3 linked regions of the Sus scrofa genome follow. Each later gene encodes a partner of the first gene's protein in a complex. Links are inferred from orthologs where the notes say so. Each region holds a gene or a part of one and is shown on either strand. Other genes may lie near its edges. The genes, in order: EZH2, AEBP2 and EED.

Region 1 (4,090 bases):
CAAATCCACTGGTCATTTCTAATTAACCCCAGAATGCATGAGATCAGAGGATTTTTTTATTGCTGTTGATTTTTTAAAAAATCAACTTTCTTAATTACCGCTTTTTAGGCCAAGATGGAAACTAATTCGTTCTCCTTAAGCATGCCAGCTCAAAGGATGGAAGATATCCTAGAAAGCCTCAGTGTAACCTGGGGAAATCTGCCTAAAAATTTTAAGTGGCCAACACAAAGACAATCACCTATATGTATGTGTGCAAGGCAAAGCTGATATCAAAGTATTACAGCTTTTTTGTGTGCCTAACTTCACTAAATCAACAAGTGTGGTTTTTTTAATCACTGCTACTTAAATACATTTTCAAATCAAATAAAAAATTAAAAACCAATTCCCCCAAAAAAACTTAAAAATAAATCTTGTGGCAACTACAAAGACAGTAATTGCCAAATATAGTGTACACAAACAAGTAAGGAAAAACTGCAATTTCTTATCCTAAAAGATCCAAATATCTACCAAAATCTCCCTAACTAGCTCATCTTATAACAAGAGGCCAGATTATCAGGAGGACTTTTTAATAGATAATTACTAGCAACTAATACAGTAAACAATACTTAGGACAGCACCTGGAATGTCTGTTCAGCGGTGTCTAACACTGCAAAATATGTAATAAAGACTTTTACACTGCATTTCTTTGTCTCCATATTTATGAAACCGTAAGATGGTAGGGTGAACATTAGATCATCAGATAGAACAATGCAAATCGGTGCTATGTTCCTAAATTCCTCTTCTTTGAAGATATTCCCCTGCCACAAAGACTAGAATTTAAGATGCCATTTTCCTAAGTGTTTTCAAGAACTTAAGCATTAAATTCCCAAATACACCACCACAAAGAGAGAAAGGATTCTTTACATCCAGGACTAGAACCCTACCTACTCCTAACTTTAGGTAATATGAAAAGGAAATTAAAATAGGTCATAAATACTTTCATTTTCTTGAAATAAAATTATCAATAAACTTGTTAGGATTACACACTTGTTCTACATTTTATTTCCAAACATAAAATAGTTGCTAACGGTGATGAATGAAGAGTAGTGGAAAATAAACTCCAAACCCCCTAGCTCCCTGGTGGTCTAATGGTTAGGATCCCACACGCTCTTAAAATCCCTTAGAAGTATAGCCTACATTCAACTGTATCAGCATTAGTGTTTTTTAAAGATTTTCTTAAATGGTGTTTTATGTGACATTAAAAAGCCACAAAATTAATCCGATAAATGACCTTTAAAACCCAGAAAGTAAACCTTGAAGTAAAATATTTTTAAATACCAAAGACATATCTTTGTTTCCAAATGACTTAAATTTTACAGATCCTGTGTGACAAACAAAGGAAGTTTAGCTTAACTGTGGACAGCACACGTTCAATTTCTTAGGCAACAAACATTTCTGTAGTCAGTCTTTTCTGACTCAACAAAGCTATTGTTCACGGAAAACAAGACCAATTAATGACGAATTGCTAACCAGACCACCTAAACACACATTTGTCATAAACATTTTGCTTGATCAATTCTTTCTACCATCGCATCCTCATTCAATCCCTGGGGATTTGGAGAATAATCTCTTACTAAATGACAGTTGATTTCGTTAGCACCTGTCGCCAGTCTCAGATGTATCACATAAGTTGGCCGAAAGAGCATGTAATTTTTTAAAAAAAATATGATTCTTTAGAAAGCGGGAACTCAGCAGGCGTGAGTTCACCAAGTTTTCATTTCAAAATATCATGCTTCTCGATTCCTCCAATTTTCAAAAAGGGACCTGATGGCACCGACTTTTTTTGGGGGGGTGGACAATGACGCGGAAACTCGACGAAAAGCCCTCCGAAACGAACAAAACCGAGCGGGGGGAGAACGGCTCGACCCTTCCTCAAACTTAACAGAAAGCCAGCCGAGGGGGTAAAGGCGGCCGGGACCGCCTCGTCAGAGCGGGTGGAGACGAGGGGTTCGGGGGTGCTTTCCGGGGAAATGTCAGACCCGCAGCCGCTCCGAGTTCGGTTCCCAGCGCCGCCCCGGCCCCCTCGGCCCCGGCCGAGCCTGCGCGCTCGCGGGGAGGGGGCGTGGGGCCCAGCCCGCCCCCTGCGCCGCGGCCCGCGCTCCCCACGCCCCTCTCCCGCCCGCTGTCAGGCCCGGGTGTCACTGCCCCTTCCCCGCGCCGAGCTCCCCCGAGACACAGTCCGTCCTTTGTCTGAGTGTGCACTCGGTGCCGAGGTCCCACCAACTTGTGTGCGTCCCGTCCCACCCGGGCGCTCCCGCCGCGACGCTCCACACAAAGGAGACAGGGGCTCGGGCGGCCGGCCCGCCCCGAGCACCGGAGCGCCCCCAGCCCAGCCGCCGCGCCTCCCGAAGGGCGGGCGCGCGAGAAGACCCCTCGGCTCGCCCCCCAGGGCGCCCGCCCGGGGTCCCGCCTTAGGTCGCCAGGTGCGGCGCTGCCCGCCCCCGCGGTCGCGCGGGCCAGCCCAAAGCCACGGCCCCTTCCGAGGGGTCTCCTCTCACCCCTCCAGCCAAAGCGGCGCCCCGGGAAAGCCCGCTCTGGGCGATACCCGGAGGGGTGGCGGGGATATCCCGGCGCCGCCGCCGCCCCTCACCGAGCTTCGGAGCCCCGCTGGCCGGCCGGCCCGACAGCGGCACGCTACCTGAGCCCCGCGCCCCAGCCCGCTCCGCTCCCGCGCGCCGCTCCCGCGCGCCACCACCGCCGCCGGGCTTCCACCGCCTTCTGCGTCCCAGTGGGTGTCGGACGCTCCCGGACCAAGCGCCAAACCCGGCAGCCCAATCGCCATCGCTTTTATTTGGCCCCCCCTGTCCAACTAAGCGCCGCCCCGATTGGCGGGCCGCGAGGCGGGCTCCCGTCCAATCACAAGGCCCGCCGGGCTCCGTGGCGGCGAGCCAGCCCCACGCAGAGGAGCCCGCGGGACTCAGCCGGGCCGGGCCGGCGGCGCGTGCGCGCGAGCGGGCGGGCGCTGAGGGACGCGGCCGCCGAGTGGAAGCGCTGCGCCGTCTCTTTGTTCTTTCGCCGAACGCACGGCGCCTCTCAGGAAGGCGGTGGGTCGGCTGGCTGGGACGATGGGGCCTCTGCAGCCCGAATCCCGGGCCGCGGGCGGGAGGCGGCCAGGGCAGGATGGCGGGAACCGACCAGGGGGCGGGACGGCGCGCTCGCGGCGCTTGGCGGGAACCGCCGGCAGCCTCAGAGTTCCCGGGCCGGAGGGGCGGGGCGGGGCCGATAGCCAAGTTTGAACCAGTTCAAAACTCGGGGGTGGTAACGGTTTCAACTGCCGCGCTCTTTTCCCCGCGCGCGGAGCCGAAGCGCAGGCCGGCCGGCGGACGCGCGCGAGGTACCCCGATTGCCGGCCAGTTACGCTCTGCGGTCCGGGCTCCAATCTGGTTCGTTTCGGGCGAGGAGCCCCGAGCCTTTCGCGGTCTGGTCGGACTGGCGCGCCGCCTCCGGTGCGAGCAGAGCGCTCTGCCAGCTACTTTTTCTGCTAAGCCCCTCAGTGGCTTGGCCCGACTCAGATCCCCTGGCCCGCTGGACTTTGGTTGGTCGAGGCCGCAGTGCCCATCTCCTTAGAAACCTGGGAAACAGCAGCCCTACTGTTATTTCAGTTTCCTCATTCTGAGCGCCTTGTTCGGCACCTTCCAGCGTTTGTAGTTCCAAACACGTGTCAACGTTAATCATTTATCAGGGGTGAGTGGGGTTCACTTGCCTCGAGCTAACGCCTCTGGAAAAAATTGGGATGATTGCAGCATCTTTCAAGTGTTAAAAAAAAAAATGATCTGCGGGTGAGCCTGTATCAACCCATAAGAATTAGAAATATTCTGTTTAGGATGCAGTTTCCCCTTTTAATTTATCTGACAGTGAAGGTAAGGTTATTCTGAATTTTCTTTTTTTTCTTTTTAGGGCCTCATCCGAGGCGTATGGAGTTTCCCAGGCCAGGGGTGGAATCCGGCCTACACCACAGCCACAGCAACTCAGGCTCCAAGCCGTATCTGCGACCTACTCCACAGCTCAACAAGGCCAGGGATCTAACTGCAACCTCAGGCATGGTTCCTAG
Region 2 (3,725 bases), on another chromosome or scaffold:
ATATAGTATTGTGAATATGCCAAATGCCACTGAATTGTGCACTTAGATGTTAAACGTCTCATGATCAGAATCTGTAGCTGAACATTCTTGATGTAGGCTGAGGACCACACTATTGATAGGGTTGTTGTAAGAATTAAATGAATTATAAGCACTGGTTAGGACTTATTGCTTCTTTTCAAGGTTCCCATAGCACTCTGTGCCTTACCCCTGACTATAGGGCTTTGAAGTTGTTCCTTTCCATGCATATCTTGCTGATCATATGTAAGCTCTTTCAGGGCCAGAACTGTATCTTATTCATCCTTACACTTTTAGCATTTAGTGTAATATTGGACATAAAATAGTTAAGTCTATGAACTAAGATCTTGAGTTATTCCTCTCCCTCTCACTTAATGTGCACCTTAGAATGGGTAAAGATTTTTGTTAGTAATGCTGAATACAGTCCATGACATGTCTTTTGAATAGTGAAATAAGGAGAATAATACTAATAGCACTGTATAAGGATCTTGCTGTGAAATGTTTTCAGGCAGTATTGATTTTATCAGAATCTCTAAGCTAATATATTTAGAAACATTTATGAGTTGGGATAAGCTGTCTAGTAATACTCTGAAAGTATGAGCATGTCCTTGAAGGAAGGAAGATGAGCTCTCTTTCACATGGGCAGACTTAGACTTTATGAATAAAGCCATGGTCTCTACTAACAGGGTTGTATTGTGTTTGTAGAAGTTTGAAATAGTAGAGGTACCTAGGTTGAAATAAAGAGCCTGGAAGCATATGGATTTTTTTTGTGTGGTATAATCAAGAAAAATATGATTAAGTTAAACCACCTGGGAATAATGTGATTGATTTATTTGGTGGCAGGCAGATATGACAGATATGCATGCCTGGAGTTAGGTTGTCAAGCCAGGAACTAAGCAACTTGGATAAGTTACTAATTGAAAAGCCACTAGCAATCCAGTGCTGGATTTTGCTGTTTGGGGATCATTTTGGAAAATAGTGTTGGTTTTAATTAGTAACAGTCATTTGTTGGAAGATCTGCAAATATTATTTTCCTAAGATCTAACTAGACACAGACTTGTATTGTGACTCATTTGAGCATTGTGATTTTAGTGATATCCAAACATTCTGCACCCGTTGTTGAAATAGCAGATCTGACAGTTGACTTTCATAGTTAAGTTAAACCTTCTGTTTTCTCAATCTTGGCAGTACAGAAGGCTGAAGAGACTGTATTTAATGGAACTTATAGAGGGTTCCATAAGATTAAACCTGAACATAAGTTTTCTGAGACTAGACCCAGTAGTTTAAAAATCAGTATTATTGTATTTCTTTCCTATCTATTACAATAGCCAACAGTAGGGAGCTTGCTGAAGGTTTTAAAGTAGCATATGTCCTAAGATAAAAATGACTTTAAAAATCCAGGAATCCAGGTAATTGTTCGATTACATAATTTTTTGATCTAAAAACAGCTTATTGCTCCTCTTATATTTTTCTGGAAAGAAGAGCCCACTATTTTGTCTCGCATATAGTGGGAAAAGCAGTAAATTGGGGAGTCATGAAAATTTCTAGTCTGCCACTGCTTAATGTGAGTTATTTTGTCCAACTTACAAAATGAAAAGGTTGCTCCAGTCCCTCAGATTCTTTCTGGAATTAGTTCTGTAGTGTTACTGATAATACACTATTTATTTATTTCTGATAATACAAAATATTTACTCATTTGTATTTATACTTGTGTCCTATACAGAATCCCTGACATTCTTTTTTATTTTTATTTAGTGTGTTGTTGGTGGCTGCAATGCCAGCTTTGCTTCTCAGGGAGGGCTAGCTCGCCATGTACCCACACACTTCAGTCAGCAGAACTCCTCAAAAGTTTCTAGCCAGCCAAAGGCCAAAGAAGAATCTCCTTCTAAAGCTGGAATGAACAAAAGGAGGAAATTAAAGAACAAAAGACGACGCTCATTACGTAAGTGTTTCACTGAAAATCATTATGTATTAGATGGCTGTTGTTTATATCTTGGGCTTTGGCTCATTCAGTTTTTACCATTCTTGAACTCTGCTTATCTATTTTTATTTTATTTTATTTTTTTTATTTTAGGGCTGCACCCTCGGCTTGTGGAAGGTCCTAGGCTGGGTTGATGGCCATAGCAACGCTAGATCTGAACCGCGTTTGTGACCTACACCACAGCTCATGGCAATGCTGGACCCTTAACCCACTGAGCAAGGCTAGGGATCGAATTCTCATCCTTATGGTTACTGGTTGGGTTCTTTACCGCTGAGCCACAACGGGAACTCCTGCTTATCTATTTTTGTTACCAGTAATGAACAGTAGGATCTTGGTCCATCAGTGTGAGTATTCAGTGATGTATGTCTTAACTGTAGTAGCTAAGGGAATGTAAGTATATGTGACCTTAGAATACAAGCTCTGTATAGAATTAGATTTTTGAGGGCTACTTCGATTCTTTTCTAAATTAAGACAGTTTGAATTAAGAGACTGTTGTTGTGTCCATCAAGATTTTATTTAGTAAAAGAAAAAATAATGGGCATGTATGTATGTATGTATGTATTTTTGGCCATAGTCATGCAGTGGCTTGATGGGGGATCTCAGTTCCCAGACCAGTAATTGAACTGCAGCTGTGGAAGTACTGAATCCTAACCACTAGACCACCAGGGAACTCCCCCAAATTTTTATAAAATTTGAACATGTTAAAAATTCAAGTAAAAGTGAAGTAACCTATCTGCTCCAAAGTGGTATATGTGAATAGCGAGACTGTGTATAGTTTGTGTCTCAGTGCTTAACAGTCTGATGTGACTCATGTGTACAGTGGTTATGTGCTTAATTACCAGACTGTGAGCTGTATCCTCAGCATTTAGGAGAGAACATTATTAGATTATTGTATACGTTTGAGCCACAGAAAAATAAGAGTCTCTATTTTTATGGTTTTCAAAGGGTTTTGATTGTATAGCTTATTAACTTAAGAAATGATTGAGTATCCAGCCCTAACTTGTGTATTTATATAGTGTATACACCTAGCCCTGCTAATGAATATTATAATTACCAAGAAGAAATATTGAAAAACCTCAATATGAAAACAGCAAAAACAGAACTTGATTTTATTTTCTTCCCTACCTTAATGGATCATGACCCACGCCACTTTGGAGACTGTTCTAGTTCAGTATCCTTTTTTCCCCCTTTTTTGTCTTTTTTAGGGCCACATCCATGGCATATGGAAGTTCTAGGCTAGGGGTCACATCAGAGCTACAGCTCCTGGCCTACACCACAGCCACAGCAGCACTGGATCTGAGCCACATCTGTGACCTACACTGCAGCTTACGTCAATGCTGGATCCTTAACACACTGACCCATGAGGATCGAACGTGCATCCTAATGGATACTAGTTGGGTTTGTTTCCACTGAGCCACAACTAAACTCCCTAGTTAAGTATTCTTTTTTTTTTTTTTTTTTTTTGTCTTTATAGGGCCATACCCGGGGCATATGGAGGTTCCCAGGATAGCATTCAATTCAGAGCTGTAGCTCCTGGCCTGTACCACAGCTGCAGCAATGCCATATCCAAGCCGAATTTGTGACCTACACCACAGATCATGATTCTTAACCTGAGCAAGGCCAGGGATTGAATCTGTGTCCTCATGGATTCTTAAGATTTGTTTCTGCTGAGCCACTTTGGGAACTCCCCCTAGTTCAGTATTCTTGATATGGACATAACTTGAGGTTA
Region 3 (2,810 bases), about 89 Mb from region 1:
AAACATAAAACATATTGCTACCTTTTGCCAGAAATCCATAGAAAACCTCATGTACCAAATGTCACACTGGCTGTAATCAAATCGCCCAAGAATAGTCACATTAGACTCACTGGGTTTAATTTTATCTATATCATCTTCCATTTTGCCAGGTTTCCAGCACACAATGGCGTTTTCACAAGACTTTAAAAAAGAGAGAAATGGGAAAAAAAGAATTGTTACTTGGAGAACTGAATTTTAAACATAAAAAACAAAGCTTTTTCTCTACATCATTTTAGAATTGACAGCTTTTAGAACCTGGTTATCCATCTACTGAGTACAGTGATATACGATCATGTATATTCACAAAGTCAGTGTTGGACAAGAGGTCTAATTACCAACAGATTTTAATAATAACAAAAGCATTACACTGTTTGGAATATTTATTTTTGAAGTCACAATTTCTTTCCCAAACCACACCAGACTGAGTTCTGGATACTTTAGCATCCAGAGACTTGAAGTGTTTTATAGTAAAGGTAAAATTATAAACATTGTATTAGAATACACAGCTCTTCAACATGGCCCCTGCTTATTTCACTCTTTTCATCTTTCCCAATTCCACTTCTAACTCCCTTCCCCCCTTCTGTGGTTCCTCTTATCTGGTTAACTATTGATCCTTCATTCCTGGTGTCTCCACTACATGGTAGATGCTCAACAAACATAGGAAAGCTAATGAATGCCTAGAAAGGGCCTTAGAGATGGAATTATATAGAAGGCAATAAAAGCAGTGGTTCAATGTCAGGAAACTGATAAAGGGATGGGATTGAAATAGCTGAGTTACACCTTCACTATCCTGCAACAATGAACCTTTACATGTATTCCACTTAAGCATCAAGTGGTAAAAAATACAATGGGGAAAAATGCAAAACAGAGGGCACTATTTATATCACTGTATAGATTTAGTGGTTTGCCGATTAAGGAATATTTGGCAATGTCTCTGGCTTCTAGTCAACAGAGGCCAGAGATGCTGAACACCTCAAAATGCACAGAACAGTTCCTCCCACAAAAAAATAATTCTCTGACCCAACCTCAATAGTGGTAGGATGGAGAAATTCTGGTGTACATGAAGAGTGCCTCTTGGAATTTTACAGGACACAGCCTACACAACCATATGTGGTAGCTCTGTGGGGTTCTCTGGCATTTAAACAGTTTTCAGCAGGGCCACTGGGAGGTCAGGGAGTAAACCTGACCTGAATGTGCTTTTTTTCTTCTCTGCCTTTTTTAGATTGTATAACATCCCAGGTCTATAGATCTGCTATGCAAGTTCTTTACTCTAAGTACCCTAGCTATCACCTAGTCTGATGACTCTTAACTCAAGTGCACAATTTGATTAATAGCCTGTAGACCTTTCCTTAAAAACACACGTTGGCCTCAACCCTATTAAGTCAGAATCTTTGGGAGGGAAGGCCAAGGCAGCAGAATTGTAAAATGGTTCTTCAAGTGCTTCTTACTGACGATACTGGTAAAGGATTCTGAATGAGTGGAGTCCCCCCATGGAGAACTAAAACATAGGGAGGTAAAAAAAATTTACCCACACTAATTAATGGATGGCTATACTTGCAAATCATCTGGAGTTCTTTTTCTTTAAATTACAAATTCTCAGGTCCTTGTGCCAGACTTAGAACCTCTGAGGATGAAGCCTAGGACACTATTTTTATAACATCCTCCCAACAGTTCTGAGGCAGAGCCAGATTTGAGACCACCAATATCCAGTTTAACTTCCCATCAGAAAGGCAGAAATCCTTTCCTTTCTGAAATCTAATTAAGTTCTAAGAGCAGAAATATTAGTTACTGCCTTTTTACTTCTGCTTCTAAAACAAATTGAGTATTTTCCCCTATTTATCTTACCAAGCACAGCTTAAAAATCTGAAGGGTGGAGAGGAGGCAGACTGGTTTAGGGACCCTGGGACAAGAAGGACGCTGAATTCCTTCATTTTCTTCTGCATCCTTTATGTATCCCAGAGTGGATGCTACCTACCTATAGAAGGTGGCAACTCAACAATGCTAACAAGTGAAGACCAGAAGAAGCCCCAACAAAGGCCTGCTTTCTGCAGAGGATCCGGAAAATGGCAACTTAGCATAAGAGTAAATTTTCAGATAAACACTTAATAGCACAGGAAACACTTTGGATCCACCCACTTGTGACCTAGCAAAGTCCCAGTGGGGATCCCTTCTCAGGTGGTAACTAAGTAAATACTTCAAGCACCTAACACCCTGACTCCTCCCTACCCCTCACTATGAGGTGACTCCTCCTTCTCTCCAGCTGGAGTGGTATCAGAGGAGGCCTAGCAAAGAGTCAGGATGTTTATTTACAACCACCCATCACTCTCAGTTATAAGTGGGGACCCCATGGGGTAGTAATGAGGCCTCCCAGTCCCTCCCAGTGAGGGTGGTGTCACCTGAGGCCCAGTGAAAAGCCTGAACTCTCACCTCAGTAGTCATGAGATAGCATCACCAAGTCAATCAAGTGGGGAAACTGGACTTACTCATGCCACCTGCCAACCATAAAGAAGCACGCCCCTTCCCCAGGTGAAAATTTATCAGAGGCAGCCTGCTATAAGAGCTCTAAATAAGATCCAGAGTTTTGCAACAGTACACAAAATATCTATCTCAATCAAAATTCACTTTGTTATACCATGAAATATAAAAATCTCAACTTTAATGAGAAAAGATAATCAAGAGATACTACCACTAAGATGACACAGATGTTAGAACTATATGACAAGGATTTTTTCCCCCCAGGCCTGCGGCATGTGGAAATTCCTAGGCCAGGG

Evidence for each region.
Region 2: the proteins of EZH2 (region 1) and AEBP2 are in contact, whole or in part, in a cryo-EM structure (PDB 8VMI), measured with the Homo sapiens proteins. The link is inferred for Sus scrofa from reciprocal best matches to the Homo sapiens genes EZH2 and AEBP2. Residues at the interface, in NP_001190176.1 of Homo sapiens: Ser76, Leu77, Arg78, Gly79, Thr80, Thr100, Asn102, Ala103, Val104, Ala105, Ser619, Asp620, Val621, Ala622, Ile739, Glu742, Met743, Glu744, Ile745, Pro746; in NP_001107648.1 of Homo sapiens: Lys382, Leu383, Lys384, Asn385, Arg387, Arg388, Ser390, Leu391, Pro392, His395, Asp399, Ala400, Gln401, Asp404, Ala405, Arg407, His408, Ile411, Cys412, Leu415.
Region 3: the proteins of EZH2 (region 1) and EED are in contact, whole or in part, in a cryo-EM structure (PDB 8VMI), measured with the Homo sapiens proteins. The link is inferred for Sus scrofa from reciprocal best matches to the Homo sapiens genes EZH2 and EED. Residues at the interface, in NP_001190176.1 of Homo sapiens: Arg34, Glu37, Val38, Lys39, Met41, Phe42, Ser43, Asn45, Arg46, Ile49, Arg52, Thr53, Ile55, Leu56, Asn57, Glu59, Trp60, Lys61, Arg63, Arg64, Ile65, Gln66, Pro67, Val68, His69, Ile70, Leu71, Glu82, Cys83, Ser84; in NP_003788.2 of Homo sapiens: Val85, Asn86, Ser87, Leu88, Lys89, Glu90, Asp91, Trp103, His104, Ser105, Lys106, Glu107, Asp109, Pro110, Val112, Arg120, Thr122, Leu123, Tyr124, Glu125, Gln129, Gly130, Glu131, Ile132, Arg133, Leu134, Leu135, Gln136, Ser137, Tyr138.

The regions. Positions count from the first base shown.
Region 1 is NC_010451.4:109,383,726-109,387,815, reverse strand, and holds the start of EZH2 (histone-lysine N-methyltransferase EZH2), read right to left. Parts: upstream 2,801-4,090; 5' UTR 2,678-2,800; intron 2,654-2,677; exon of another isoform or gene 2,630-2,653; intron 1-2,629. UniProt on the Homo sapiens protein: Polycomb group (PcG) protein. Catalytic subunit of the PRC2/EED-EZH2 complex, which methylates 'Lys-9' (H3K9me) and 'Lys-27' (H3K27me) of histone H3, leading to transcriptional repression of the affected target gene.
Region 2 is NC_010447.5:53,635,864-53,639,588, reverse strand, and holds part of AEBP2 (zinc finger protein AEBP2), read left to right. Parts: intron 1-1,770; coding exon 1,771-1,957; intron 1,958-3,725. UniProt on the Homo sapiens protein: Acts as an accessory subunit for the core Polycomb repressive complex 2 (PRC2), which mediates histone H3K27 (H3K27me3) trimethylation on chromatin leading to transcriptional repression of the affected target gene.
Region 3 is NC_010451.4:20,153,890-20,156,699, reverse strand, and holds part of EED (polycomb protein EED), read right to left. Parts: intron 181-2,810; coding exon 22-180; intron 1-21. UniProt on the Homo sapiens protein: Polycomb group (PcG) protein. Component of the PRC2/EED-EZH2 complex, which methylates 'Lys-9' and 'Lys-27' of histone H3, leading to transcriptional repression of the affected target gene.